Linked DNA regions of Elephas maximus indicus. The protein of the gene in region 1 purifies or fractionates together with the protein of each later gene. This does not show direct contact. Links are inferred from orthologs where the notes say so. Each region holds a gene or a part of one and is shown in the gene's direction. Other genes may lie near its edges. The genes, in order: CUL4B, UBXN7, COPS8 and EZH2.

Evidence for each region.
Region 2: the proteins of CUL4B (region 1) and UBXN7 purify together in Homo sapiens (affinity purification with mass spectrometry; 3 studies listed by BioGRID and IntAct, with this or other methods). This does not show direct contact. The link is inferred for Elephas maximus indicus from reciprocal best matches to the Homo sapiens genes CUL4B and UBXN7.
Region 3: the proteins of CUL4B (region 1) and COPS8 purify together in Homo sapiens (affinity purification with mass spectrometry; 7 studies listed by BioGRID and IntAct, counting the BioPlex papers as one, with this or other methods). This does not show direct contact. The link is inferred for Elephas maximus indicus from reciprocal best matches to the Homo sapiens genes CUL4B and COPS8.
Region 4: the proteins of CUL4B (region 1) and EZH2 purify together in Homo sapiens (affinity purification with mass spectrometry; 4 studies listed by BioGRID and IntAct, with this or other methods). This does not show direct contact. The link is inferred for Elephas maximus indicus from reciprocal best matches to the Homo sapiens genes CUL4B and EZH2.

What each region holds. Positions count from the first base shown.
Region 1 is NC_064846.1:35,958,910-35,966,628, forward strand, and holds the start of CUL4B (cullin-4B), read left to right. Parts: upstream 1-4,718; 5' UTR 4,719-4,806; intron 4,807-6,964; exon of another isoform or gene 6,965-6,989; coding exon of another isoform or gene 6,990-7,719. Other genes in the region: C1GALT1C1 (C1GALT1-specific chaperone 1), read left to right, coding at 6,990-7,719.
Region 2 is NC_064819.1:17,997,054-18,004,570, reverse strand, and holds the start of UBXN7 (UBX domain-containing protein 7), read left to right. Parts: upstream 1-4,502; 5' UTR 4,503-4,572; coding exon 4,573-4,645; intron 4,646-7,517. UniProt on the Homo sapiens protein: Ubiquitin-binding adapter that links a subset of NEDD8-associated cullin ring ligases (CRLs) to the segregase VCP/p97, to regulate turnover of their ubiquitination substrates.
Region 3 is NC_064824.1:139,246,722-139,254,362, forward strand, and holds the start of COPS8 (COP9 signalosome complex subunit 8), read left to right. Parts: upstream 1-4,633; 5' UTR 4,634-4,772; coding exon 4,773-4,850; intron 4,851-6,712; coding exon 6,713-6,783; intron 6,784-7,641. UniProt on the Homo sapiens protein: Component of the COP9 signalosome complex (CSN), a complex involved in various cellular and developmental processes.
Region 4 is NC_064826.1:1,338,098-1,345,451, forward strand, and holds the start of EZH2 (histone-lysine N-methyltransferase EZH2), read left to right. Parts: upstream 1-4,346; 5' UTR 4,347-4,459; coding exon 4,460-4,589; intron 4,590-7,071; coding exon 7,072-7,193; intron 7,194-7,354. UniProt on the Homo sapiens protein: Polycomb group (PcG) protein. Catalytic subunit of the PRC2/EED-EZH2 complex, which methylates 'Lys-9' (H3K9me) and 'Lys-27' (H3K27me) of histone H3, leading to transcriptional repression of the affected target gene.

The sequences.
Region 1 (7,719 bases):
CAGAGCTCAAAAGTGGCAGAGTCAGAGCTCAAAACCAAGTTTGTCTTACGCCAGAGCCTAAACTCTTAATCACTACACTAAACTTCCTCTTAAAAATATGTCTCCATAATGGTTGCAGGAGCCCTGGTGGTGTAGTGGTTAAGAGCTCAGCTGCTAACCAAAAAGTCAGCAGTTCAAATCCACCAGGCACTCCTTGGAAACCCTACGGGGCAGTTCTACTCTGTCAAATAGGGTCACTATGGGTCAGAATCGACTCAACGGCAGTAGGTTGGATTTAATCTTACCGAAGCAGATCACCAGGCTTTTCTTCCCCAGAGCCACTGGGTGGATTTGAACCACCAACCTTTCAGTTAGTAAAAAAAAAAAAAACCAAACCCAGTGCTGTCGAGTCAATTTTGACTCATAGCGACCCTTATAGGACAGAGTAGAACTGCTCCATAGAGTTTCCAAGGAGCGCCTGGCAGATTCGAACTGCTGACCCTTTGGTTAGCAGCCGTTAGTAGCCAAGAGCAAACCATTAGTACCACCCAGGGACCTATATGTACACTGCTACCACAGTAAAAAAAAAAAAAAATGCCTTAAAAATTACAAGACCACATATTGCAACCCTGATGAATTAATACCACAGGCACTGGCCATCAGTGGCAGCGAGCATCACAGGGAGAGACAACCAGACAGTATGTGGCTCCTGAGGGAAGCACACAGAACCACCTATGAAGCAGTTTTTCCCGGAAAAGAAATGAACCTGATTCTAACCAAGCCTTTTGATTAGGGTTAGGGTTGCCATATAAAATACAGGACATCCAGTTCAATCTGAATTTCAGATAAACAAGGAATAATTTTTTAGCATAAGCATGTCACATGCAATAGTTAGTATGTCTCATGCAATACATCCGGGACATATTTATACTAAAAATTATTCCTTGTTTATCTCAAATTTAATTTTAACTGGGTATCCTGTATTTTTATTTACTAAATGTGGCAAACTACCAGTCCACAGGGAATACAAAGGACAGAGAAACATATTAAAAGAACCAGGATGAGGTAATCAGCACCAGACTGTGGGTAAATCTACAAGAACAATCAGATTGCTTCAACAAAGAAATGTCAAGAGAAGAAAAGAAAGTAAGAGAGAACCTAGACTAAAAAGAGACGTAAGAGACACAAAAACCAATCACATTGTAGAGATTTTATTTGGAGTCTGATTTAGACTATAAAAAAATTGTGATATTGTTGGTAATTTGAACACTCTAGATATTTGATTAATTAAGGAATTATTAATTTTCAGATATGATAGTGGTATTGTGGATTTTTAGAAATTCTTATCTCTTAGAGATCCATATTGACATGTTTACGACAGAAGGAGCTTTACAATAATCTAGAAGAAAGGGAAGTGGAAGACGTATAGATGTGACAAGATTGGCTTTGAGGTGATGATTGTTCAAGGTTCGTGAAAAGTACATGTGATTTCATTATACTTTTCTCTCTACTTCTGTGTAAGTTTGAAATTCTCCATAATAAAAAAGTTTTTAAAAGAAACAATACCTAGTACAGTGCCTGATATGACATACTGTAAACATTTTGTTGGAGGGCAAATGGGTTTGTTCATTTAAAAAAAAAAAAACTCTCAGATATTTTTAAGTAGAAAAATATTTTTGACATAAGATTCCAAGCATGAATATGCCTGAAAACACAAACTGAGATTCATTTAGAGACCAAACTATCCTCAAGCTGAAACAATAATGAATTTGCTCAGACCAGGGAATTTGTTTATTGCACATGAACAGTTGAGAAACTCTGGGCAGAAGAGTTACACAGAGGTACTTCATTCACAGAAGATATTTTTAACCCTCCAAAAAGATGTTATGCAGAAAACAATCCACCTTAGATTTTCTTCAATATTATTCCAGTGAACTGTTGCAGAAAGTCACGTCAATTTCCCAAAGGCCTGAGGGCAAATTTTGAAAATTTGAGTGCTTACACGCAAGTGAATCTCCAATTACTAGAAATTAATGACCTCTACGCTGCATAATGCATGGAATTGGCAGAAATGCTTTTCCAAAAAGGCAGTGTTTTCGGCTTTGAATGCAGTCTTGCCTTGCCTGCTATGTACATGAAGGCAACCAAATTCAAATGCAAACCCCCATAACAGGTGCAGGTTAGTGTGTTTAGTGAAGTTTAGTGCAGGTTAGTGAAATAAGCTATCTTGTTTTTAAATGTTTAATATTCCATTATATGGCTGTACCATAATTAATTCAACCATTTCCTTATTGATGAATGTTTCCCACTTTTGCTATTATAAACAATAATGCATTTTTCCTTATATATTCAGCCTTACATTCTGATGTTTTAATTTCTGTGGGAGCGATTACTAGAAGTGGGTTTGCTGGGCCCACTTATATGCTGAGTGTAAACATTCTTATTTTTAGTAGATACTAATTGCATGACTTATTAAGGTTATAATATGTAAAGGTCTAAAAAATGAAATCACCTAACTAAAGTCAATCATCTCTAACTTCATTTCAAATGTTAAGTATACTTAAATTCTGCTTTAAATAGAGAACTGGGTTCTTAAACAATTTCTCATTAGCAGTGTTTCTGGTGTTGAAAATCTTATGGTTTGTTCTGTTTCAGAGCACTGTGTATCAGTACTTCCAGTTTGGTATACCTTCCTGTACTAGAAAAAAGAAATGTTTTAAATTGCCTCCTTATAATTGTCTCTGAAATCTGAGTGAAATTTCTATCTGTCCTTCCTTGGTCCTTTTTTGCAAGGAAAACTAGTTCTCTATTCTCTTTAAAAAGGTATTGGTATCTTTTCCTCTTTGTTGCTTTAATTTTTTTTAATTCCTTTATTTGCTGCTTTTCAAATTCAAAAGTAATAAATGCTCGTTAGAAGCAGTGAAACAATGCAATACAAAGATGGATAATGACAGAGTTAACCATACTCACCTCAACCTCCGGATGTGATCAATACTGCTGGGTATAGTTCTATACTCTCTTGCTCATTCAAACAAACCAAGCATATGTGCATGTATATAAAAATTTGTTTGTTGTTACCAAAGTATAATCATACTATACACATTATTCTGCAACTTGTTTCACTTAACTATATATATATGTGCGTGTATACACATATATTTATATTTGTGACAATCTAAAAATGACTATATATCAATCAAGAAAATATAACAGAGATATTCTGCAGTATTAAATTCCTTTCCAGTTCAAAAATTCATCTTTTGTATTCCTTAGAGTCAGGGGCTGAGTCAAAGGCAGCTGACATGTCACATTACAGGGAGAGCAACTAGGGTCACAGAACAATGTGTGTATAAATTTTTGTATGAGAAATTAACTTGAACTGTAAACTTTCACTTAGAGCACAATAAATAAAAAACGGCAACTAACAACAACAGAGAATATATCACTATTACAATTATTTGTAATAAATTGTTTAATGTCATTCTTCCCTGCTAGACGGACAGTTCTATATTTTACAGGGGACTTATTTTGTTTACCACCATAGCCCCAGAATTTAAGGTAGCACCGCCATGATAATTGCCCAGAGCCTATTTTTTTGTGACTGAATAGTCATTGCTAATAGACCCAAAAACATCTAAGATAGATGTGTTTTTGGAAACGCTAGCTGAAGTCACCACAGCAGTATCTAATATAGAGAAATCATTCAGTTAATGCTATTTGAAGGAAACATAGTGACATTTAAAATATTTCTAGGGATTTGTGCTTTTTAGCAAAAACCCCTCTCTGCCACAAAAAGAATTTTATGATAGACCATATATTTAGTGGAAGGAGTTCTGCACTTGTAATTAGGAGACCTGGATTCTAGTTCCACCTCTGCCTCTACCTAGCTATGTGACCTATATTAGGTTTCTTATCCTTTCTGGGCCTGGTTCCTCATCTGTAGCTCTAACTCATTTAATTCCACTATATATTTATTGTTGAGGAGTGAACAATAATAACAGCCAACATTTGTTGAACTCTTACTCTATGGTTGGTGTTTTGCTAAGGGAGTCACATGCACTGTCTCATTTAATCTTCTACAAGATAGGCATTACTGTGATATTTTCTGTATTTTAGAAAAGAGGGCACTGAAGCGTTGAGAGGTGAAGTAAATTTCCGAGGACATCAAAGCTAGTGGTGAAGATAGGATTGGATTCCAGGCAGCGTTGCTTCGGATCCCAGCCCAGTAACCATAGCGAATTCTTACCCTCATAATTCAATGATTTTAGTGGCTGACATTTGGGCCCCAGTCCAAAAGTACTCGGGTGGAATACCTCTTTGCCAATATAAGGGTGCAATGATGCAGAGCTACCTTACAGAAACCACTGAGACATCCCACGTACGGCCGCCAGGAACCAGAGTCTACAACACCCTCGGTTTTCACATCGGGAAGAAGAAGAGGTGGGAGGTGTCGGCGGGTCCGATGCACGCACGCCTCTCTAGGCGTCCCATTGGGTACAGGAGAGCGTGCGGTGGGCGGGGAGAAAGAGGCGCGCTGCGTGCGCACTGAGAGAAAGAGGCGCGCGGCGTAGGCGCGGGCCCTTCTGAGGTCTGAGCGAGCGGGCGGGCGGGCGGTTCAGCCGGGCCGAGGGCCCGTTTGCCCCGCCCCGCTGTCTTCGCCTTCGTGGCCTCCGCTTCTTGGTCCTCCCCACCTTTAGTGAAACCAACGAGAGGACTCCGCCTGCAGCTAGAGCAGCCTGACTGGGAGCGTTACCAAGTGGCGCGCGGACCTGAGAGGAAAGCTGTGCGCGGCTGCGCTTTCCCACCCCTGAGGCGTTGTAGACACCGGTGAGTGCCGGGGTCTCGGCCCCCACCCCCGCGGACCCCGGAATGTTCTGACCCTGCCTCTTCCCTGAGGAGGGCCTGAGCCCTTGCTCACTCCCAGCATGCTCCACGCGGGACGCCAAGGCAGGTGCTGTTGGAGGAATAGTCAGTGGGGGAGATGGAGAGTTTTGAGGTGACCGTATCCTACTCCTTACTTCTCTTCTCCCCTTTCGTCCTCCTCCCTTTTTGATACTCCACCCCAGCACCTTCACCTTCTAAAAAGATTCATCCCAACCACTATGATAGTGCTTCATTTGTGTTTGTTTTAAGTTTCCCTCTCTTCTTCAAATATCCTATCATGTGCGTTTCCAGTGTTACATTTTTTGGCCTGCCTTGATTGGAAAAAAAAAAAGAAGTCTACTCCTTAGAATAATTTGTGTGAATGGTTTTATTTAAAAATTGCTGACTTCTTGAGTTTGTTCAATATTTTTGCAGCCATGAGTAATAACCCATCAGGCAGAATTCTGACGTTATTTGCCATTATGGAGCTGAGAGACACATGTGAAATATATTGGCCAGAAATAATGAAAATTGTGTAATGTGAAATGCCACATTCCTATATACGTTAATTTTAGAGCACCCCTGACAGTTCTAATTAAGCAAAGCTTGTTTCCTGTTCTCTTTTCCTTCTTGGAGCTGTTTATTGATCAAGTGCCTTGAGTGATACAGTGCAACCATCCTGCTTCTCCCCCCACCCCAGTTCTTAGTATGATGATGTTGGGTGTAAAATGTCAATTATGGTTAACAGATCCCCATATGTATATATACACATATTTTTTTTTGGTCTGTAGGAAAACAAGTGATTCATTTGTTAAAGTCTCAATACTATGGGTAGAAGCACCGTAGAAATTGATATGTAATGAGAAAAATATTAAAGTGATGTCAGGAGATCTGGTGTCTAGTTCCACTTCTACCATTAACTTCGTGACTTTGGGTCAGTTGCTTAACCTCTCTGGACCTTAGTTTCCCTATTTGTAAAATGAGATAAAAGGCATTAGATAGCTTCTAGTGCCCCTTTGAACTTTAAGAGACAAAGAGAAAACCTGAGTAGCTCAATAAAACATTCTTTGTGAAGATGAAGGGGTGATTGGGAAAATACTAGCCTTTACAAGCATAAATGCTGGTTGTATTTAATGTTGGCTTTTTCAGTTGGAAACCCTGGTGGTGTAGTGGTTAAGAGCTACCCAAAAGGCAGTTCAAATCTACCAGGCATTCCTTGGAAATCCTATGGGGGCAGTTCTACTCTGTCGTCTAGGGTCGCCATGCGTTGGAATCAACTCGATGGCAACAGGTTTGGTTTGGTTTGGCTTTTTCCAGTTGAAGTAAAAGTGTAGAGTTTCCCTTTTTTACTGGAAGAAGAAAATGCCTTTTCAGGAAATAAAATGTTTGTTAATGGTCCCCAGATATGTCTGTATTGATTTAGTTCTCATCGAAATAATTTAACTATTCCCATCATAAGCTTTTAATACACCAGTTAGTTGAGATACGTATTAGGTACAGTATTGGAAACCATTTAGTTTTAGGAACAAAAGTGTAAATATTAGCATATATGCTATCAATCTCAAGATACTTGATTTAGATGTACTCCAAACACCTAAGGTCAGCAGCCATCAGTTAAATAAAGTACTAGGCTGGGAATAGAAATGTCAACACAGATACCATTGGTGATTTGCCACTTGTAGGTGGCTTTATCTGTTAGACTTAAGGTTTTGGTGTGAAGGTCCATTTATATCTGCAAAGGTATTTGAATAACATAATGCAAGCTTGTGAAACGAAATTCCTTTAAAGAGAACGATGAACGGACAACTTCTGTGACATTGGTTTCTAGAGTTAATGCTTTGATTTAGTACTTGGACAATTAAATCCCCACAGATGAAGTACAAAAAAAAAAAAGAGCCTTCTCACAGCAGATTGTACTCCATAGAGGAGTTGCTTCAAAGTTCCAGTTTACATCAAACAGTAATCAGATGCCACTGGAAGCTAAAGATTCCTAGGGTCATTGGTACTATGTACAACTAACTGGATTTCAAACTTGGGAACCTTTTTAATGTTCAGAGCAAAATGTAAGTATATAAGGAATACCAAATCAAATGACTAATCTTTTTCCTTTAAATATTTTAAGGATCTTTTTCTTCTTTATAGGAAAAATGCTTTCTGAAAGCAGTTCATTTTTGAAGGGTATGATGCTCGGAAGCATTTTCTGTGCCTTGATCACTATGCTAGGCCACGTTAGGATTGGTCATGAAAATAGAATGCACCACCATGAGCATCATCACCTACAAGCTCCTAACAAAGAAGATATCTTGAAAATTTCAGATGATGAACGCATGGAGCTCAGTAAGAGCTTTCGGGTGTACTGTATCATCCTTGTAAAACCCAAAGATGTGAGTCTTTGGGCTGCAGTGAAGGAGACTTGGACCAAACACTGTGACAAAGCAGAGTTCTTCAGTTCTGAAAATGTTAAAGTGTTTGAATCAATTAATATGGAAACAGATGACATGTGGATAATGATGAGAAAAGCTTACGAATATGCTTTTGATAAATATAAAGACCAATACAACTGGTTCTTCCTTGCACGCCCCACTACGTTTGCCATTATTGAAAACTTAAAGTATTTTTTGTTAAAAAAGGATCCATCACAGCCCTTCTACCTAGGCCACACTATAAAATCTGGAGACCTTGAATATGTGAGTGTGGAAGGAGGAATTGTCTTAAGCATAGGATCCATGAAAAGACTAAACAGCCTTCTCGGTATCCCTGAGAAGTGTCCTGAACAGGGAGGGATGATTTGGAAGCTATCTGAAGATAAGCAGCTAGCAGTCTGCCTGAAATATGCTGGAGTGTTTGCAGAAAATGCAGAAGATTCTGAAGGAAAAG
Region 2 (7,517 bases), on another chromosome or scaffold:
GGGCAGCCCGAGAAGACAAAGTATTATAATGACATGTGCAAAGAGCAGGAGATAGAAAACCAAAAGAGAAGAACATGCTCAGATTTCTCAAGCTGAAAGAACTGAAGAAAAAATTCAAGCCTCAAGTTGCAATAGTGAAGGATTCTATGGGGAAAATATTGAATGATGCAGGAAGCATCAAAAGAAGATGAAAGGAATACACAGAGTCATTATACCAAAAAGAATTGGTCGATGTCCAACCATTTCAAAAGGTAGTATATGATCAGGAACCAATGGTACTGATGGAAGAAGTCCAAGCTGCACTGAAGGCACTGGCAAAAAATAAGGCTCCAGGAATTGATGGAATATCAATTGAGATGTTTCAACAAATGGATGCGGCACTGGAAGCACTCACTCATCTATACTAAGAAATTTGGAAGACAGCTACCTGGCCAACTGACTGGAAGAGATCCATATCTATGTCTATTCCCAAGAAGGTGATCGATCCGAATGCAGAAATTATCCAACATCACTAATATTACATGCAAGCAAAATTTTGCTGAAGATCATTCAAAAGTGGCTGCAGCAGTATATTGACAGGGAACTGCCAGCAATTCCGGCAAGATTCAGAAGAGGACGTGGAACCAGGGATATCATTCCTGATGTCAGATGGATCCTGGCTGAAGGCAGAGAATACCAGAAGGATGTTTACCTGTGTTTTATTGACTATGCAAAAGCATTTGACTGTGTGGATCATAATGAATTATAGATAACATTGCAAAGAATGGGAATTCCAGGGCACTTAATTGTGCTCATGAGGATCCTGTACCTAGATCAAGAGGCAGTTGTTTGGATAGAACAAGGGGATACTTTGTGGTAAAGTCAGGAAAGGTGTGCGTTAGGATTGTATCCTTTCACCACACCTATTCAATCTGAATGTTAAGCATATAATCCGAGAAGCTGGACTATATGAAGAATGGGGCAACACAACAGGAGGAAGACTTATTAACAACCTTTGATATGCAGATGACACAACCTTTCTTGCTGAAAGTGAAGAGGACTTGAAGCACTTCTTGAAGATGATCAAAGATCACAGCCTTCAGTATGGATTACACCTCAACATAAAGAAAACAAACATCCTCACAACTGGACCAATAAGCAACATCATGATAAATGGAGAAAAGAATGAAGTTGTCAAGGATTTCATTTCACTCGGATCCACAATCCACAGCCATGGAAGCAGCAGTGAAGAAATCAAGAGACACGTTGCATTGGGCACGTCTGCTGCAAAAGACATCTTTAAAGTGTTGAAAAGCAAAGATGTTACCTTGAAGACTAAGTTGTGCCTGACTCAAGCCATGGTATTTTCAATCGCATCACATGCATGCGAAAGCTGGATGATGAATAAGGAAAACTGAAGAAGAATTGATGCCTTTGAATTGTGGTGCTGGAAAAGAATACTGAATATATCATGGACTGCCAGAAGAAGGAACAAATCTGTCTTGTAAGAAGCACAACGAGAATGCTCCTTAGAAGCAGGGATGGTGAGACTGTGTCTTATACACTTTGGACATGTAGTCAGGAGGCATCAGTCCCTGGAAAAGGACATTATGCTTGGTAAAGTACAAGGTCAGCCGAAAACATGGATTGACACAGTGGCTGTAACAATGGGCTCAAGCAGAACAACCATTGTGAGCATAGTGCAGGACCAGGCAGTGTTTCGTTCTGTGGTACATAGGGTCACTATGAGTTGGAATCGACTCGATGGCACCTAACAACAAGTTTCCCGTTTTAAATCTTTTAGTTTTGTTTTATCCTTCATTATTGTATCCCTTCACTTAAGGTTCAGGGTTCCAGGATTGACCGTCTCAATCCGTTTTGCTTTTTCAGGTCTTTATTGCAGCTGGATGGCTTAGTGTATCTGACTGGTCCGCCATCTTGGTTCTGCCTTCTTCATCTTTACTCTTGAGGAATCATTTACTGTGAACAGAATTCTAGTTCCATCCTTATTTTTTTCTCAGCAGTTTAAGTATAATATCCCATTATTTTTTGCTCTTCTCTTCAGAATTTTGTATCAAACTAATTGCTATTCTTTTGTAAGATATTTTCTATCATCTATTGCCAGTTGCCCTGGGGTTATTATCAGCCTTGGATCACTTTCTACTAATTTTTCAACTTGGGTAGTTCCTGGCCCCTGCAGGAATTAAAATTTGAATTCCAAACCATCTCAGGACAGGCCTGTGGTTAGGAATTCTTAGAGTTGATACTTTTAGCTACAGCTCACCTGCAGGAATCCAGAGGCAGAGAGACAAGCTTATTGTACCTTCCCAGTGCTGAGGGTGTATTTTTTCTTGTCTGAACTTTTATGTTATTATTGAGCAAGTAGTTCTTCAAAGGTTTCAGCTTTAAGGGGAGGGGGAGTTTCAGTTTAACTAGCCCACTTCGTGAAGGCACAAGGCCTCAAGTCTTGCTGCCGAGTGACCTTTAAACCCATTCAATCAGACATACAACCTCCCCCTCTTTCTGCTCTCTAGCCCCAACATTATCTCAAACTTATTGCACAATGATTTTGTTCCCTCTTCATTTTTGGCCACTGGAGATTTCCTGTATTTTTCTGAGATCTAAGCTACCCACTTAAACAAATGCTTGTTATGATTTGGGTGGCATTTCTAGGTGTTTTGCTCTCAGGTCTGTGTGGCCTGTCAGAATGCCCCACATCCTTTCTTTGCTCAAGAGTATTCTTGATTAGGAATCTACCTTCTTTTATACCAATCCTGTCTTTCTGAAACTACAATCCTATAATTAACCTTGATTTGACATGGTTCTTTCTCAGTTCTCCCCAAGCATACATTTACATACTGTTTCTTAGAATTCTCCAGATGACTCATTCTATCTTTTATTGAGCCATTTTCTTGTGAAGATGCAAGATATTTGGATGGGGGAGGGGAAAGGCTAGAACCTAAACTGAGGCTCTTTAACCTTATTCTCTAGGTGGGATGTCATTACATCCGAGTGCACCTCACTCATATAATTCTATTTAAAAACATTTAGAAGTATACAAGTAACATACAAATATTCTTTTTTGTTTAAAAATAAAAGATACAAAATAAACTCAAAGTCCCTTTTCAACACTGTCCCTCTCGCTCCCCTTTCTAGAGGTAACTATTATCAGTGTTTTCAGGACATCTTTGCAGTGCCATTTCTATACATTTTCTTTTCTCTCAGCTGTATATACACCTATACATTTTCTTTTTACAGAAACGATACCCCCTTATTTTACAGATGAGGAAACTAAGTGGGACCCTGAGGGGAAAAATGTGTAGACAAATTTATTGAAGGAAAGCCAACGGAAAAATCATTTATTAATACCCTACTATGAACTGGTCTCTACTTCTTTGGAACAAAATACAATGAAGGAAACCAAGGACTCAAAGAAGCAACTAGCCCACATGAACCATGGTCTCATCTAGCCTGAGACCAGAACTACATGGTGCTTGGCTACCACAACCATTATTACCAGGGACACAATAGAAGATCCCAGGTGGGTTGGCAGAAAAATGTGGAACAAAACTCAAATTTCTAAAAAAAAAACACCAGACTTGCTGGACCAAGAAAGACTAGAGAAACCTCTGAGACTATCTCCCTAAGATATGCTTTGAACTTGGAACTGAAGCTACTTCCACATAAAAGATAGGCTTATAAAATAAACAATATCACCTGTGAGTACTGTGATCCCTTAAATAATCAACTACCTGAGATCAAACGGTCAACATTTACCCTAAAGCAAGGATGAGAAGATAAGGAGGGGCAGGGAAGCTAGATTTAGTGGAAACAGAACAAACAGAATGGAAATGACGAGAATAGTGACACATTGTGTAACCAATGTCAGGAAACAATCTGTATAAAAATTGTTAAATGGGAACCTACTTTGCTGTAAACTTTCACCTAAAACACAATAAAATATTATTTTTTAAAAACCCCTACTACGTGTCAAATCCTGCACCATGCTATCTTGGCATGAAAGGTTCTGGTATTTTGCTGGATAGGGTCGCTGCACTAGGTTAGGGAAAGCAATTAGTTTAGACGTTGGAGAACCTGTACGAGTGGCTTCAGTGTTGATGATATAGGATTTGGATTTTGGTGGGAGCTTCAGCAAACCTAGCAGAGGGGTTGTGGAGCTGCAAAAAAGAAAAAAAACAACAACAAAAAACCCTGTCACCGGTAGTTGGGTCTGTCACTAAAGCTTGTCAAGTTGAATCGCGAGGAACCTGCTACCTGGCGAGTCCGAATCTTCCTCTGGAAAGCAGGAGCTCATACCGTGTCTACCAGGCTGGCCTTGGAGTTTGGAGAGGGAGGCACCAGAGGCTGCAAGAAGGATGCGGCGAGCAGACAGCAACCGAGCAGCCAATCCGGAGAGCAGAGAGAGCGCTCCCGGACCGGTCGGGAAGTGCGCCTGCGCTCACCGCTCAGCGGGCCGGGAGGGGCGGAGCATGGGGATGGTCAATGAGCCTGCGCAAACGGCGCTGCGAGGTGGGGGAGGGCGGTCCGTGTGTGTCTGTGTTGTTGTTCGGCGGCAGCGGCGGCGGCGGTAAGATGGCTGCCCACGGGGGCTCCGCCGCGTCCTCGGCGCTGAAGGGGTTAATTCAGCAGTTCACCGCCATCACCGGTAAGAGACGCGGTTACCGGAAGGTGCAGAGCGGGGTCCGGGGCGGGCGGCGGGTCTGCCCCGGGCTTTCTTCTGCCTTCATGCATTCCTCCCTCGGGCTTTACTCAAAGCTCCCGTCCTCCCTCCTGAGGAAGAGGCGACGACGGCGTCGGGGTCTCCGGGTTCAGGCGGGAGGCGGCCCCCCCGCTGCCCACATTCTCGCTCGTGGTCTCCTCGCAGTGTGGAGGGGGACCCTTCACCCCTGCCAGCCCGGTCCCGGCGAGTGGGCCGAGCCCATCCGTCCCCGCCGGCCCGGGGGCCTGGGGGCGGAAGGAGTGGGGGGCCGCACCCGGGCCACCGCCCTCCTCCTCCTCCATCATCTTCCTCTCTTCTCTGGCCAGCTCGGGGGCGGAGTGCGTCCCCTCAGCTCCTCTTTCCCGGCTCCCCGGCCGGGTCATTCTCCCCCGTCCCTGGCCTGCCCTTCCCCTGGCTGGGCCCCTCGGAGCCATCGCTGTGGCCCTGGCTGGTTCGGGCCCTCCCGCCTTCACGGCGAGGCTAGTGGCTTCGGCAGCGCCTTCACGGATCCGGGGAGATCGGCCGCCAGGAAGGGGGCGGCTGAGAAGCACCTTAGGAACTGGGGTTTTAAGAGTAAAATGAGGGGATCCCCTCCACAAGCTTAATTGTGAAGGCCTGGAGGAATCCTGGCTGGCGTTTCCCACCTCCCTATAATAAAACCCCAAAGACCGAGGCGATGGCGCCGGGGCCTCCCGCTGCTCACATAGGGATGGCGGCAGAAACTTCGCCGAGAGGAAATCTCTCTCTGGCTGTCGGTATCCCTCAGACCCTAGGCCTGGGTTTTTCTTTTTTTGGACCCCTGCGAAGGGCACACGCAGATCCTCTCACCGCCTGGGGGAAAGGCCCTAAGCCATTCTCTGTATTCCCTGGGTCTTGGTTTCTCTCTGATGGTGCTGAACTTTTTTTGCATGAGTTATTAGAGGGCGGAGCAAATGATGAAGTTCTCTGTGGAGTGATTTGAGAGGAGAGTACTCCATGTGCCGGGGTGTAATTTTGCAGCTCTAGTTTGTCATTTTGGAAAGAGGTCAGAATGTTAGTTCTCTCGCCTAGCAGATCCTCTCTCTGATGCTTTGTTAAATGCGGACGATCCTTTCACTGTTAATGTTTCTCAGAGTTTGTCGTGCAAGATCTGGCTAAGGAAAATTTTACATTGTTTTACCCAATACAGGTTGTATGCTAGTTATCGTTGGATAATTAAAGCTCCTTTTATTTTTTTTTTTAACTCTGCAACGGTAACTAGATGTTTGATGCATTGTTATCTAGCTCCTGCGCATGCAGCAGTGGGTCAAAGTTGGTAAAGTAAAATTTGTAATAAAATCGGAGTGGGGAATGGAGTGATAATTTTCATATTCATAATTTAAAATATACTAAAGGTGTAATGCCATTACCTCCCGAAGCCACTTTTGTGGGGAAAATTATGTGTATAAGTTAACATGTACTGCATTATGTTTATATAGGAAAATCTTTGTAGTGAATCGGTTATAGAGTATCATTAATAATCCTTTTTTTAGGTTTATTAGAGGTAGTTTAATATGACACTTATTTAATTTCAGTTTTTTCTGCAGAGAAACTGAAATTAAATAAATGGACTCAGGAACACTTATTGCTTTAACTTCACATTATCTCTTGTAATGAACATTTTTGTTAGATATAGACAAAATCTGAAGTGTGATGAGGTGAACTGACTCACTGAACTGCCTTTATTCTGTCTCTGTTTGCTAGTCTATACTGCCTGTTTCCTGGTCACAGGCGTTTCTATTTCTGAATCAGGTTGGATTCTCTCAGTAGACAATGGTATCTAGAATTCTGCAAAAGCAGAAATACCTTAGATTGTTCCTAATCTATTGTGAATTGTTATTAATAATTTTTTTAGATTCTTTCAACGAGGTTATGATTACCATTAGAAACACCTGATTGATCCCTCCACCCCTTTTCATGTATCTAAAAAATAAATTTGGGGGTTATCTTCACATATATTGTAAACAGTAGTGTTTATGATAAGAAGGTAGTTGTTTTTTATGCATTGCTGGGTGAATTAGGCTGACCTTAAAAAAAATTTTTTTTTTTTAAGAGCTTATGCTCTGATTTTGAAAAGGTTTACTTACCTAGAAGCTCAACATTCTGATACAAGCAACTAATTCAATGGCATTTAGAAATAGAAAATTGAAAGATTTCTTAGTAAATCTTATTTCTTACTAAATAAAACAAATTTCTCTATAGTACGTGTGTATGAAGGAATGAATCTGATTTTTAAAATTTTTTAATTATTAAAAAGATGACAAACATGAAATAGTTTGGAAAAAGGGAAAAAAACTAATTTTCCACTCTTACATCAATATTATTTATTTTATTATGGTCTCTTCCAATTCTCGTTTACATACTTATTTTTTGCATTATAGATTGTACTGTACATAATTTAGAATTCTAAATTTTTCACTTAACGTTACACCGTACGCATTTTTCTATGATTGCGCTCTCTGACAAGCAGGTAGCCAAGGAAGTGATGTTCTTTGAAGTAATCATGTTAAGACGCTGTGTACCACCACCACTGATGCCTTCAGAGCTGTTTAAAGCTACATAAAATAAGTTCTTTTTAGTCATACCCCATTTTACAATATTACTTGGTTTGATAGCCCTTGATATTCATCACACATGACTTTGAATGACTGTTGGCTACTTTTAGAAGTCTTATCAGTTCTCAAAACATGAAAGAATATGCTGCTGAATCTGAAAGGAATTTCAAAAGAACAATTTAAAAAAATATTTTGAATCATGATAGTATCCCATTAACACTAACTTGGGCTGACATCCAGCCACA
Region 3 (7,641 bases), on another chromosome or scaffold:
ATTGTCCAGCTTTCACATGAATGTGAGGTGACTGAAAATATCATGCCTTGGGTCAGGGACATCTTAGTCTTCAAAGTGACATCTTTGCTTTTTAACACTGTAAAGGGGCATTTTGCAGCAGATTTGTGCGATGCAATATGTCATTTGATTTCTTGACTGCTGCTTCCATGGGTGTTGTTGGTATTGTAGATTCAAGTCAAATGAAATCCTTGACAACTTCAATATTTTGTCCATTATCATGCTGTTGCTTATTGGTCCAGCAGTGAGGAGTTTTCTCATCTTTATGTTGAGGTGTAGTCCATACTGAAGGCTTTAGTCTTTGGTATTCACCTGTAAGTCTTTTAAGTCCTCTTCATTTTCAGCAAGCAAGGTTGTGTCATCTGCATATCATATATATATACACAGAGAGAGAGAGATTTATTTGGGTCATGTAATTATGGAGGCTGGCAAGACCCAAATTCTGTGGGTCAGCTCTCAGGCTGGAGATTTTTCCTGAGTCATACATTTGTAGGGTCTGATGAACCCAAAATTGGCAGGTCAGACAGCAGGCTGCTGGTTCACATCCCAAGAATCAGAGGTTAGACTATGACAGTTTAATGTAGGATCAAGAGAGAGCAAGCTTTGCTGTAACATCCATATATATTGGCTGCAGGCCACACCCCCAAGGAAACTGCCTTTTCAACTGATTGGCTGCTCACAACAGATCACATCATGGACAGTGATTGCGTTATATCTGCCATACCACTGAGAATCATGGCCTAGCCAAGGTGACACATAACCTTAACCATAAAAACCTTACAACAGTTTTCACTTCTTTATTCACTTCCCGTATTTATTGATACATTCATAAAAATTAACGAAGTTATACAGGCGTAGGGTGGGCCCTAATCCCAAACCCTTCTCAGAGGCATCTCATAGAAGAGGAGCAGTTTTAGACACAGAGACATACCTGGGGTGAAGACACAGCGTAAGCTGATGGAAGCAGATGCACATAGAAGCAGCAAAGGAGCTCCCAGGATTCTCACCACCAGAAACAAGGGGAGCGGCATGCGGCTGCTCCGCTCTCATAGTCCTCAGGAGGAATCAACATGGAAGAGACGCTGACTTGGACTTCTAGCCTGCAGAACTGTGAGACAATAAATTTCTGTTCTTCAAAGCCACCCACTTGTGGTATTTTGTTATGGCAGTCCTAGGAGACTAAGACACAGACATGGCATGTTTAACCATGCACCTATTAGGTCATTCAGTGGTTTAGCTATTGTACTTTATGATTTTGCACCACGTTTTAGCTGCAGTTCATTCCCTCTTCAGTAATTATTTCATTAGGATAGCTTCCCAAGGGCAGTACACTAAGTCCAAGGCTAAGACTATGTCATGGTTTTCATTGTGTATTGCTACCTTGCTTAATGAAATGGCAACATCTACCACAGGGCCGCCCACAGGGGTGCCTTGCCCAAGAGCTCAAACTGATATTTCACCCGTCAAGGACACAAATGTCCCTCTCAGCCAGTGGTCCGATGGAAGTACCTGAGCAATCTATCATCTTGTTCTTGGCCACATTAACACCCTCAAACCCAAAATGCCCTGAATAGAACTTCTAGTGAAGTGCTAAATAGAAGTGGTGACAGTGGACATCTTTGTCTTCCTCTTGATTTTGGGAGAAAAGCATTTTCACAGATAAAAATTTACATAAATTCAATCCTCAAAATGTGAAGATTACTCAAATGCCCACTTTCCCATTTCTCAATTATCTCTGACAACCTCTGCCCACACGGCACTTTCTCGTTCTGACCCTAGCCACCCCCAGCTAGGTCAGATCTCACAACTTAAAAGGACACCATCCTTCAGACTGCCAAATAGGCAGATGCCAGCCACAAGCCTGGGAGTCCACATGACACCCTTACTTCTAACCTGCTGGCTACAAACTTGGGTATTTCCCACTATTCATTCAGAATGTCAGTCCAAGTTTGGGGGCCTCCCCTGGACTTCCTAACTTTCACTTGCTGGCTCCCACTGTTCCTTTGGGTTTGATAATTCACTGGAACAATTCATAGAGCTCAGAAAATACTATACTTACGGTTACAGGCTTATTGTAGCAAAAAGAATACAAATCAGCATAGTGAAGAGATGTACAGGGCAAGGTCCAGGGGTATTCTCAATGAAGAGTTTCCATACCCCCCAAGAAGCTCACTACCCTCCCATGTGTATCCATGCCTTTCACCAACCAGGAAGCTCCTGAAGCCTCTGTGTCCAGAGCCTTTATTTGTTTCATTACATATGCATGATAGGGGCCTCATTGCATATTCATATTCATATTCATATTCATGGTAAGAGCCTCATTGCATATGCGTGATTGAATCATGTTCCCTTATCTCCCTGAGGTCAGCTGATTTCAGGTCATGATGTGGTCCTTCTAGCTTGGCCAGCCCCCCACTCATTAGCATAAATCCTCTGGTATAGTCCTTAAGCTTAAGTAACAAACCCATTGCTGTTGAGTCAATTCAGACTCATAGCAACCCTATAGGACAGGGTAGAGCTGCCCCATAGGGTTTCCAAGGAGCAACTGGTGGATTCAAACTGCAGACCTTTTTTGGTTAGCAGCCGAGTGCTTAACCACTCTGCCACCAGGGCTCCCAAATAACAAAAGGTACTGTAATTACTCAGGAAATTTCAGTTATTTCTCAGGAACTGAGGACAAAGGTCAAATTTCTCTCTGTAAGGGGATTCATTGCTTCACAGGATTCAACCTTTTACTATTAAATATGCTGTAGGTGTGGGTTTCTCACAGATGTCCTTCATCACATTGAGGAAATTCCCTTCTATGCCTAGTTTGTTGAGTATTTTTATCATGAAGGGGTGTTGGATTTTGTCACACACTTTTTCTGAATCTATGGATTTGGTACCTTTTTCTATTGATATGGCGTATTATATTAATTGTTTTTTGAATGTTAAACTCACCTTACATTTCTGGGCTAAATCCTACTTGGCCATAGCATGTAATCGATTTTGTATATTGCCGGATGAGGTTGCCTGTATTTTGTGGAGGACAATTGTATCTATATTCATAAGAGATTTTGAAAAAACACAAAAATAAGACAGACACCAATTGCAAGGGAAATAGGAAGTGGCAAATTTATTGTCTGCGCAGACAAGGAGCAAGGTAAGGATTGGGGAGCTTTTATGTCCTCAGATCCCTGGGGATCTGGGTGCTGAGTCATGCTGAGTCACTCTTCACAGGAAGTTCAAGTTGGGGGACTTCTCGCTTTCCAAAGTAGCTCGGGTGGCACTGGGTGCTGGAGAATATCTTCCCCTCTGGTGATGCTCAGGCCTGGGGTCAGGTACAGAATTCTCTTGATCTGCGCATGTGCCAAGATCTTGACCTGCGCACGTACAAAGATTTGACCCCAACAAACTAAGGTTAGAAGCCAAGGTTTGTAGGGCTGTGGGCTTGGAGCAAACTGCAGTTAGAAGCTGTGGTTTGCAAGGACAGCAGACGAAGGTTGGGGGAGTGCCTCAGTGGAGTGGAGGAAGCCACGGCGACTTGGGGTTTCAATTTTAGTCTGTGGTTTTCTTTCCTTGTGATGACTTTGTCTGGTTTTGGTATTAGGGTAATACTAGCCTCATAAGATGAGTGTAAAGTGTTTCTTCTTCTAATTTTTGGAAGAGTTTGTGAAGAATTGGCATAAATCCTTCTTTAAATGTTTGGTAGAATTCACTAGTGAAGCCATCTGGGAACAAAGCAAAGCCTTAGCCCTGGGGGCGCCTGTGGTTTAGTAGCGAATAAACACATTTATAACATACTGTTTGGCAGCAGTCAGTATCATGCAGAGAACCAAGGAGCCCAAGGCCTGGAGCAGAGTCAGAGAGCAGCTGGGATTTGGATCATGTAAGCTTTGTAAGCAATGGAAAAGCCTTTGGATTTTAGGGCTTTGAAAAGAGGAATAACAAGAATTAATTTATGTTTCATAAAAGTCATTTTGGCTGCTGTGTAGAGAACAGGCTGGAGGCAGACAGGGGTGGTAGCTGGCCTATTTCAGGGGTCCGAGTTGGAAAAGGTTCTGGTTCTGTATGTATTCTGAAGGCGAAGAGCGGGGATTCCCTGAGTCTCGAATGCGGGGTGCGCAGAGGGGAGCCAGGTTGGAGGATGGTGAGGCCCTTTACTAAGAGGGAAGGGCTGCGAAAAAGCGGGCTTGGGAAACAGACTGAGGTAGGGTTTGAACCTAAGTCTGCGTGCCTATTAGGCCTCAAAGCCGACGTATCAAGTAGGCGGTTGAAAACACAAACCTGAGACATACAAACATAACTTGAGCACCTACTAAGCGCAGGGCGTTGTCCAGAACGCTAGGCAGGGCATCGACCAGTACGGCAGGGCTCATTCTTTTCTTATTATACATAAACGTTTTACTGTGCCTCTAGAGGAATTTCTGTTTATTATTTTCCGCGTATGGGTTGTCTTCAAAAGGAGTCCTCCCGCAGGCACAAAACGCCGCCCTTCCCGGACTTGGCCTTGACTCCTGACGCCGACTTCCGGCGAGGACCGACCGGTCCTCCAGAGCATAGAGAGGCGGGCCAGAGCGGCCACGACCCCTGCCCCCGCCCCCGAGCCGACGCAGAGACGTCTGAGGACGCACGGAAACCTCAGGCGCGCCTGCCAGTACCTACGGGCGCTCGTCGGCGGCCGAGGCTTTTTACGTCATCGCCGGCGCGACACCCGTAGGGACAGTCTGGGGTCTGGTTTTCGGGGAGGTGAGGCGGCGGGAGCGGCGGGGAAGATGCCAGTGGCGGTGATGGCGGAAAGTGCCTTCAGTTTCAAGAAGCTGCTGGATCAGTGCGAGAACCAGGAGCTCGAGGTAGGGCTCGGCTCGGGCCGGGAGAAGCCGCGGGGTCTCCGGGGTAACGGGCCCTACGGCGGCCGGCAGGGGACGGGCGCGGGAGCTGGGCGCGGGGAGCCCGGGCGGCTGCGGCCGGCTCCGCCTGGAAGCCCTCGGGCCCGGCCTCCTGGAGGGAAGCGCGGCCTGGACCGCGGTCGCAGCCCCATTCTGCCCCCGCACCAGGGCTGTCCGGCCACCTGTCATCACGCCTCGCCCTCCGCGCGGGCCACCTTTCTCGTGTGACCCGGGTTGGGCTTACTAGGCGTGGAAATTCTCCTGTCCCCCGACTCCATGTTGGGGACTTAAGTTGGTCTGATACAGTGTATTTTGACTTTTTTTTTTTTCCTTTAGTTTAATTTTGGCCCTTTTTGGTTAAGAGCTTGACTGCTAACCAAAAGGTGGACACTTCGAATCCGCCAGCTGCCCCTTGGAAACCCTATGAGGCAGTTCTGCTCTGTCCTGCAGGGTCGCTATGAGTCGGAATCTACTCGACGCCGACGGGTTTGAGATTTGGGTTTTTCCATATTATAATCAATTTTTGGTTCATTTGTACCCAGATAAGACCTTTACATTGCTTGTGTTAACAGTACTTTGTTAACGATTTGCGACGTGCACCCAGGTGCGGGGACAGTAAACATACTTTTTAGAATTCGTTCCAATTTTTCTGCTTTTCAAAGCGTAGGGTAGTATTTCTTATACAAGGCTTTTTTGTTGCTGTTTAACTTGTTATTTGTCTTCAGCTTGTTTTGTTTTTTCTCTTACAAGCTGAAGTTTGAAGACAAATAACTTCAGCTTGTGAGAGAAAAAACAAAACAAATATATGCGTCTTTGCTCCTAACACCCACCAGTATGCTTTTTATATTAATTAGACGAGACACGCTGCTTTCTTTGTCATTGGCCGGGGGAGGGGAAACGTGGGTTTTATTAAAGACACTTGTGCAGGCATGTGCCCATGTATATACAAACAGACCAAGAAAGGTGGGACCTTTCCTTGACTCAGAAAGCCGGTCTTATTCTCATAATACTCCTACCAAGTAAATTTGCTGTTTTGTCTTTAGTTAAGACAAATGAAAGTTTTATTATGCTGTTGAAGTTAATAGTTTAGACTTTTTTGAGTTAGACATTTAAATGCATGACATTATTATAAATAGTTAATTAATTAAAGGAGAGAACAGTGAGACCAAGTAGCTCTAGCTCACTGATAAAAAACGCTTAATAAATGTTTCCTGAAGTTAAATGGGGAAAGAAATGTTTTTGTACCTCAGCCATGATGTTTTTCTATTCCCCACTCATTTACCGGTACTTAACTGTTCAACATGTGGACCCTGGTGGCTTAGTGGTTGAAGCATTTGGCCGCTAACCAAAAGGTTGTCAGTTCGAATCCACCAGCTGCTCCTTGGAAACCCTATGGGGGAGTTCTACTCTGCCCTACAGAGTGGCTATGGGTCAGAATCGACTCCATGACAATAGGTTTGTTTTTTTTTGGTTGACTGTTCGACATATTTGATATAATGGGTAGAGTCATAGTGCTTTAGGAATTGGTTCAGAATGTTTGTGTCTTATAATAGTAAAGTCGTTTAAATTAGAATTTGAAAACTTGGAAAGAGACCCCAATTAGATTATCATGTGAAGAAATTAAGGCTCAGAGGGAGATAAGTCACAACTGATGACAGAGCTAAGCTTCGTTCAATGGTTTTAGTGTTTGATACTTTTGTAAGCTGTTTTTATATATGTAATAGGGCTATAAAACATGCATTGTATTTAAAAAAATGCTTTTTTTTTTTTTTTAAATAAGAGGTAAGAATAAATAAGGTTTTTCTCTTTCCCTTTTGGCTTTGTAGGCTCCTGGAGGAATTGCCACAGCCCCAGTGTACGGTCAGCTTCTGGCCTTGTATCTGCTCTATAACGACATGTACGTGCCTTCTACCTAAAGCCAACAGCAGCAGTGTCCCCAAAGTTAGACAGAATCACCCTCGCCTTGAAGCAGCACACTAAGTCATGGACACAGCGAGCTGTATCTTTTACCGTAACACTGCATACACCTGTTTTACCTTGAAGCATAACTTAATGAATTCTGATTAGGCTGAGTTATTTTTATTTACATTTGTTTATCAGGTACCTTATAAAAATATTTCAGTTTGTTACGAGAGACTACAGTGTTAGTCAAGTCTATGTGCAGTTATTCCTTAACATCTATTGACCTTTTTTTTTTAACTTTCTAATGACATTTGTTGATGTAACCTCACATTTAATCGATAGTCCAAGAGGAGCTGAAAGGGAGAATTGTTTGAGAAAGCTAAGAAGAATTTATTAGCAAAGCATATGAGATTTCTTCAGAGTTTTGTGTTTTAATTATCCATGTTCATTGAAGAAAAACCAGAGAGCACAGCTGTGCAGACAAAGAGGAGTCTCTGATCGTTTTACACCCCATAGAGAATTACTGATACGTTTCTGGTTTAAATTCTTCCAAATCTTTTTATTTCCATACCTTTTTGAAAATTAAATACCAAGAGTCTTATTACAGTTTGTGTAAGTTCTCTGCTTAATTTTTTATAATTCCATCATCATATGTTTGCTGTTGTTCAGGTTTTCAAACCCTTATAAACTCCCATCCTGGCAGAGTTTGGAGGCTCTGTGCCACTGGTCAGCAGGGCCATGATGAGGTGATTGCTTTGGGTCCCACACACATTGTCAGGAAATGCTAGAGCCTTGATGGTGTGCGGATTTGCTTATCTTTATGTTGGAATGCCTTATTTGGGCAATGGTTCTG
Region 4 (7,354 bases), on another chromosome or scaffold:
CCTCATGAGCACAGTTAAGTGTTCTGGAATTCCAATTTTCTGCCGTGTTATCCATAATTTGTTATGATCCACACAGTCTAATGCCTTTGCATAGTCAATTTTTATATACTAATAAATGGAGCTCTGGTGGTGCAGTGATTCCGTGGCCAACTGCTAAGTGAAAGGTTGGCAATTTGACCGTGGCTCCTCTGGAGAAAAGACCTGGCGGCCTACTCCCGTAAAGATTACAGCCTAGGAGACCCTAAGGAAGTCCTATGGGCTCACTGTGAGTCGAAATGGACTTGGTGGCACACAACAACAGATACTAAGGAAATAATTGTGACATAGTTTTAGGACCAGAGCACTGAAAACTTGGGCGATCTCTTTAGCAGCAAGTCATAAATTAAGTGTCCCCCTCTCCCAGCAAAACAAAACTCTTTAGAGTTGCGAGCATCTATATAAAAAAAATTTTTTTTTTTTTAATTAAGTGAAGCTTGCATGGCTGTATACTCTGTGTATCACCCAGTGAACTCTGCTGTCATTGGCTTATAAAATTTGTATTTACATCCATACTAGATTGTTGATTAAAGTTAGAAAGCTTGAGAAACTTTGATAATGGAAAAAAGTAAATGAGGAGTATAAAAAAGATCCTGCAAATTTTTTCAAGATGATCTTTATCCGTTAATTGTATTATATGAGCTAAATTAATAGATGGCGTATCAACCTGTCTTCAGTAAATTTTTAAGTGTTGAAAAGACAAAACATCATGACCTATTCATTTTAGTGTCTTAATTTTTAATACTAAAGACCATCTTTACGTATGTTACTCGCTGAGGAATGCTTATAAGCAAAACAAAGATTTAAGAAAATAAGACGATTGATTTTTGCTAAACATTGAATTTCAAACATCATTAAAGCCACCCTTGTGTGTTTTTGATCCAGTAGCACATAGTGAAATTCTCTATGTTCTATCTGCAGATACATGAGTATCTTCAGTGTGTTTACAAGTAATAGCCAGTTACTGAGAACCTTCCCTGTGCCTAGTATGTGTACAGTCTCCAAACCAAGCATTTTACTTTTGAATTTTGAAAATCATGCATTTTAATTATTTAAAAGGAAACACCATGTATCATTTGTTAAATGGGAAAAGTAGAATCCATCTTCATGGATTTTATAAAAGATTCTGTTAAGAGGAACTTAATTTTGAAGTATGCTGACCTGTCATATATTGGGTGGAAAAAATTGCAGCGTGAGTGTCCCTGTTCATCAATTCTGATCTACAGTACTTCAGTATTCAAATTATTTAATCAGTGTAAGCAGAATTGGCAAAATTTAATTTTAAAGCCCCAAGTTGGAATCGTCTTGATGACTACTAACAACAGCAGTGGTATTGTATGTTACCATAAAAAGTACTTATGGGTTAGAAAAGGTTGGAAATGCCTTCTAGAGTGAATTAGGGACTTGTAGTTTTTTTTTGTAGATGGCAGAAATGTTGCTCGAACAGGCTGGAAAAGATAAGTTGTGGCCCCTCCTTAGTAATTTTGCCTGTTTGGAGAATATTTGTTTGCTTGAAATAGAGCTCAAGTTATGCTACAAAGAATGTGTATTTTGACTCCCCGAGTGGTGTAAACGGTTAACGTGCTTGGCTGTTAACCAGAAGGTTGGAGGTCTGAGTCCACCCAGAGGTCCTTTGGAAGAAAGATCTGGGGATCTACTTCTGAAAAATCAACCATTGAAAACCCTGTGGGCACAGTTCTATTTTCAGACACATGAGGTGTCCATGAGTTGGGGTCAACTTGATGGCAACTGGTTTTGGTGTAAAGGAAACCAGCATTTTAGTTAGGAGAGGATATTGAAATCATATTGCTTAAATTTTGTTGGGTTTGGATTTGACCTTCTTTAGCTGTCTGTTCAATTGAGAGTGAAGTTAGTGCTATTAGACTAGTTAGGAAGGATGAGCGGTACTTGTAGTTATCACTTGGTTTTCTTTGGACAAGTAGGAACAACTGGAATGTTACCTTGGTTTAGCAAATCCTTTTTAGGAGTAAAGGGCCTTTAAGAAAGGTAGCCAAGGGCACTGAAGTGCCGGCTAGGGGACAGTTTTTGGTTTCTTGGCCTTTAGCAACTGAGTGAAGGACAGGGAGTCTTCCTAGGTAAGGCTTCTCCTAGGTAGACCAGAGCTGGACTCAGCTGGACTCAGGGCAGGTGCAGCCTGGTCATCTGAGAGGTAGAGAGGCTTGTCTCCTAGTGGGGAGTAAGTCAGCCCTGCATCACTAGTCTTCAAGAATGTCGCTGGTGAAGAGGAAACCTGCTGCCAGGACCTGCTGCTGCAGGGCATGAAATCTCAGCCCTGGATGTCCCTTAGCCAGAAGCCCCTGCACTTCAGGTGGTAGAAAGCCTGACCCAGACTGGTTTAGACAAACAAAGGTAGTTTGTTGACTATTGTAACTGAAGGAATGGGGAGGTGACTTGGCAGGGCTGGCCTGGCTCAGGGCGTGCACAGTGTGCCTGCGGTGGTTTCTTTCTTTCTCTTTTTCTGTTGTTGACTCTGCTCTTTGCAGACTCTCCTTCTGTGGTTACAAGATGCCCCCAGCAGTTCCTTGGGCTGCATGTTTCCATGTTCAAATCTAGTAGAGACCATTCCTAAGAGTCCTTGTGATGGACCTATCACTGTCTCCAGGGAGATGGTGTCCTTGGTCAGCTGAGTCGCCTCCTCAGATGTTCCTGACCCTTGGAGGATAGCTGTGTGAGTCCCTGATGAGGGGTGAGTTGAAGCAAACACTCTTGTGTTTACTTTTATGGGCAGTGAGGTTAAAGGGCCTGCCCGTGTGGGTGATCTTTCTGAGATTGGTTTGATTCATAAAACAGGCTGGACTTTGTGGTCTCTCCTGAGTTTTATTTAACCTGTAGAACAGCAGTCATGGAAGGCTGTACTGTATTCTGTGAAGGGTTTGATCGTCCCTGGCCATAGTCTGGTTTGGCTTTTGAATTTTCACTCACAGGTAGAGTCTCGTTCCAATCACTGGAGTTATGATTTGTTTTGAATGAGGAAGCTGTTTTCATATCCTGGATAATGTCATTTCACCTATGAAACTAGAACATCTTTCCAACGAGAAATTAAAGACAGAACAAAACAAAAAACTGGTTGTATCCACAAGTCCCCATCCACGTAGTAGCCAGTGTTTAAATAAATGTTGCCTTTGCCGCTACATCATATTTGGAGCTTTAATCCTCGAGCACAGAAATGGAGTCAGAAGGCCCACTTGAGCCCAGCTCTGCCCTGTCGTGGGAGGACCTGCTGTGGGCCAGCTGAAGGGCCAGGTATGTGTGTGTGTGGCTCTCATTTGGTGTATCTGACAAGCCTTGAGGGTAGGTGGTGCTATCCCTGTTTTTGGATGAGGACTTTGAGGAAATACCAGCTTTCTTATCAAATGTAAATCCCAGAGGTGCCAGGATTTGTGCTCGAGTTGTATTCATCGGTAAGGGTAGGTGAGGCCACAGGGCCCATATTCCGTCCCTGAGATTCACGGGACATTTCTGCCTCAAGTGCGGGCAGGCAGCCTCCCTTCCATACCTGGGCCCAGTGGGAGACAAGCCTGCAAGTCATCCATTTCAGTGTTTTTTGTTTTTATTTGTCTTTAAGTCTACTGTTTGCCAGGCACGTAGCCAGGCTCAGGGGTTTTACAAGTGAATAAAAACGATTCTTCTATTGAGGAACTTAAGAGTGGGAGCCGACCCGCTGACAAACGGGAAAGCTAGACATTCATAGACAGACATAGAGTGCTGTGAAGGCGGGTGGGCGTTTGTTTTCTGTAAAACATCCTTCTCAGTGGTGCCTTAAATTTTCTCATCTTTTCAAGGATCTGCCTACCTATCCCCATACTTTGAAAGAACAGTCTGAACACTTAGATTTATTTCTTAGCTTGTAATTCAGAGGTCACGATCCTTACATTTTGATAGTTTCTCCTGAATGAACTAGCATATATGTGTGTGTATATGTGTGTGTGTGTATAGTGTGTGTATATATATGCATGTATGTGTGTGTATATAATGTGTGTATATATATATATTGTGTACGTCTATATATGTGTGTGTATATAGTATGCGTATATGTATATAGTGTGTGCGTATATATTGTGTGTATGTGTGTGTGTATGTGTGTGTACGTGTATATATGTGTGTGTGTGTATATAGTGTGTGCATATATAGTGTGTATGTGTGTGTATGTATGTAGTGTGTGTATATAGTGTGTGTGTATATATGTGTGTATGTGTGTGTATGTATAGTGTGTGTGTGTATATAGTGTGTGTGTGTGCGCACGTGTATATATATTTATCCCCCCCCGCCCCCCCCCCCCCCCCACTTTGCAGTTACCAGACCATCCTGTAGGTTAAAGTCTTAACCTATGTACTTCTTTGGAAGAGTGTTGAGAAATTTATAAGCATAGAACTTATGGTATATGCCCTCCTTTTTTCCCTAAATGTTATTTATTTTGTTATTGAGAATATACACAGCAACGTGTATGCCCTGTTACAGAGATGTTTGTTCTGGAGTCAGTTCTGAAGTGTCGTGTCGACCTGGCATCCTGTCTGGCTCAGGTGGCATCTTCGGTAAGAGGGGAGAATCTTGTCATGGCAAGCTTTATTAGAGACCTTGCTTGGAAGGAGGGCAGCAGTGCTCAAACAATACAGTGCTGTCTCTTCACCAGGGCATAAAATGTGCGTCTTAAAAGGCATGTTGCCGCAGTACCCACGCCACAGTGCATTAACTGAGCACCACAGTCCTGCAGGTTTTATGGCGCAGGGGCGCCAGCTCCAAGGACCAGGAAGTGGCCAAGGCAGCAGGTAGACTAGTTGTCATGATCCAGTGGGCTCTCATTTTTAGCTGATTCCTTTCCCTTCTAGTTTCTAGGCCTTTGGAGTGCTGAAAGGTCTGAAAAATTTTGCGTAGAAATACTTACGCTCATCTGTTAACTAAGCTAGCATGTATGAAAGCAAACACGTCACTGAACTATTGACGTGTTTCTTCCTAACTGACGTCTTTTTGTCCTGCTTCACCTTCCCTTGCTAACCTCATTTTCTGCTTGAGTTAGTCTTCTCCGTTCTAACAACCCACAGATTTGCCCAGCCAGCCCCCTCAGGAAGGCCGTCCTTGGGGCCTGTGACCTTCTTCAGCCCTCATTGTCGCCCCTGCCCATCCTCAGAGCTGTCTCCTCCTCTTTCCCCCACCCTTGCTCCTGTTGACAGTGTCTTCCGGCCAGCTCCCTGCCTTCACCTGCCCCACGCCCAGCTTTCTCGAGCTCATGCCTTTGTTGTTAGTTGCCTTGAGTTACCCGTGACTCATGGTGACGTTGTGTATAATAAGGAAATGTTGCCCATTTTTGTACCATCTTCATGATTGTTGGTATGTTTGAGTCCATTGTTGGTGGCTGTTGTGTATCAGTCCATCTCACTGAAGGTTTCCCTCATTTTATGGACCCTCTATTTTATCAAATATGATGTCCTTTTCTAGTGATTGGTCTTTCCTGATGACCATCCTCGCTTCTAAGGAGCATTCTGGCTGTATTTCTTCTAAGATGGGTTTATTTATCCGACAGTCCACAGTATATTCAGTATTCTTTGGCAAAACAACAGTTCAAATGCATCAGTTCTTCTTCTGTCTTCCTTTCTCATTGTCCAGCTTTCACATGCACAGGAGGTGATTGAAAAAGACCATAGAGTCCCTCATACCTCAGAGAAATCCAGCTCATCTTTAAGGCTCCCTTGTCCTGTCTGCCTGCAGTCCTTCTCAAGTGCGCATCCTTCTTCCCCACTCTTCCTAACTCTGACCTTATAGGTACTTTTGTGTCTGGAGCGCGTACCAGACTGCATTTGCTTCTTTATGCCTTCTTGGCTAGAGTGTAAACTCTGTAAGGGCAAGGTGTGTCTCATTCACCTTTGTACACCTGTTACCTGCTTCATAATAGTCATTTATTACATGCTCGAGAAAATGCCATTCTTTGTCTCCCTTTCTTTCAGCTCTGAATAAACCACCTTCTGCTTTTGCATCACCATGTGGTTGTGGATGGAGTATTGTAGAAGTTACCACTGGCCTCAGGACCCTTTTTCTTCCTCTGAAGCTTCTCCTCAGGCAGTGCCGTATGCCTGAGGGTGTTATGTGCAGAGGTGCATGCATCCCTGGTTAGTTATTCCATCCAGAAAGCTACTTCCTCTCTCACTTTCCATTTTAAATCATCACGACGTCCTGGTGACGTTATCTCCTAAGTAACCCCTGGACTCATTCATTCTTCTCTCACTGCAGTCTCTGGCCTAGAGACCTCTGCCAGCAGCTCCCCATAGCTGCTCTCTCCCTGGCTCCTGCCCTGCAGCCAGCAGCTGCTCCATGTGTACCCCACCCTCTCAGTGCTGGATGACACTGGAGCAGAGGTCCTTGGTGTGCCTATAATAAAGCTCTGCCGGGAACTGCCCATCTCATCTCAACATGTCATGTGACCTCTGTGCTTTTGGAGGAAATGTGATAGAAAAGGATGTGACTTGGACCTAAGTGGGCTCCAAGGGTGCTGGGACCCCAGGAAGTGGGGCCCACCTGGGAGCGAGCCGAGGGCCACACCTCAGGGTTTGTTGCATCTCTCGGCCACTCTGCTGGCGGGAGCCCCTTGTAGAGGAAGGGGCTCAGGTGGGGAGTGCTGGGATGCAAGCTTGCTGTGTGCTGCACGGGTGGGTTTCCACCCACAGTGACTGGACCTATCACCACTTCTTTCTGTTGACCCCTCTGACTAGTCAGTTCTGCCTTCTGTAACAGCCAGTTTAGTGACAAGAACTTAGAATGTGCTCAGGCATTTCTTTCCCACAGAAACAAGGCTCTCAGAGAGTAAGAACTGTGGAGGCAGTGCCCTCTGGTTCCTGTCATGCTGTCACACCCTGGAAGGCAGCTGGTTTTGTGGGATATCTTCAAGGTGTAACTGCAGAGTGTCTTGCAAACATGGGTGGTATGGTGTGTGGTCATTGATTGTCACTGCTGGGATTACAGCCTCAGCAGTCAGCCTAGGCTGGCCAGATGAGTGATTTTATCATGAAACCGTTGCTTCTGCAGTGATCATGGGCCAGACCGGGAAGAAGTCTGAGAAGGGGCCTGTGTGCTGGCGGAAGCGCGTAAAGTCCGAGTACATGCGGCTGCGGCAGCTCAAGCGGTTCCGGCGGGCGGATGAGGTCAAGGTGAGATTGGCTCCCGTGAGGGGCACACACCCACCCTGGGTGGCTTTTCCCTAAAGTCAAGTAAGCTTTAATTTGAATGGCACATTCCCACCAGAGTCCTGTTCACAGCAGGGTCCCTTGAGCTGTCACAGTTAACTCCGCAGTGTCCCCTGCACATCGGT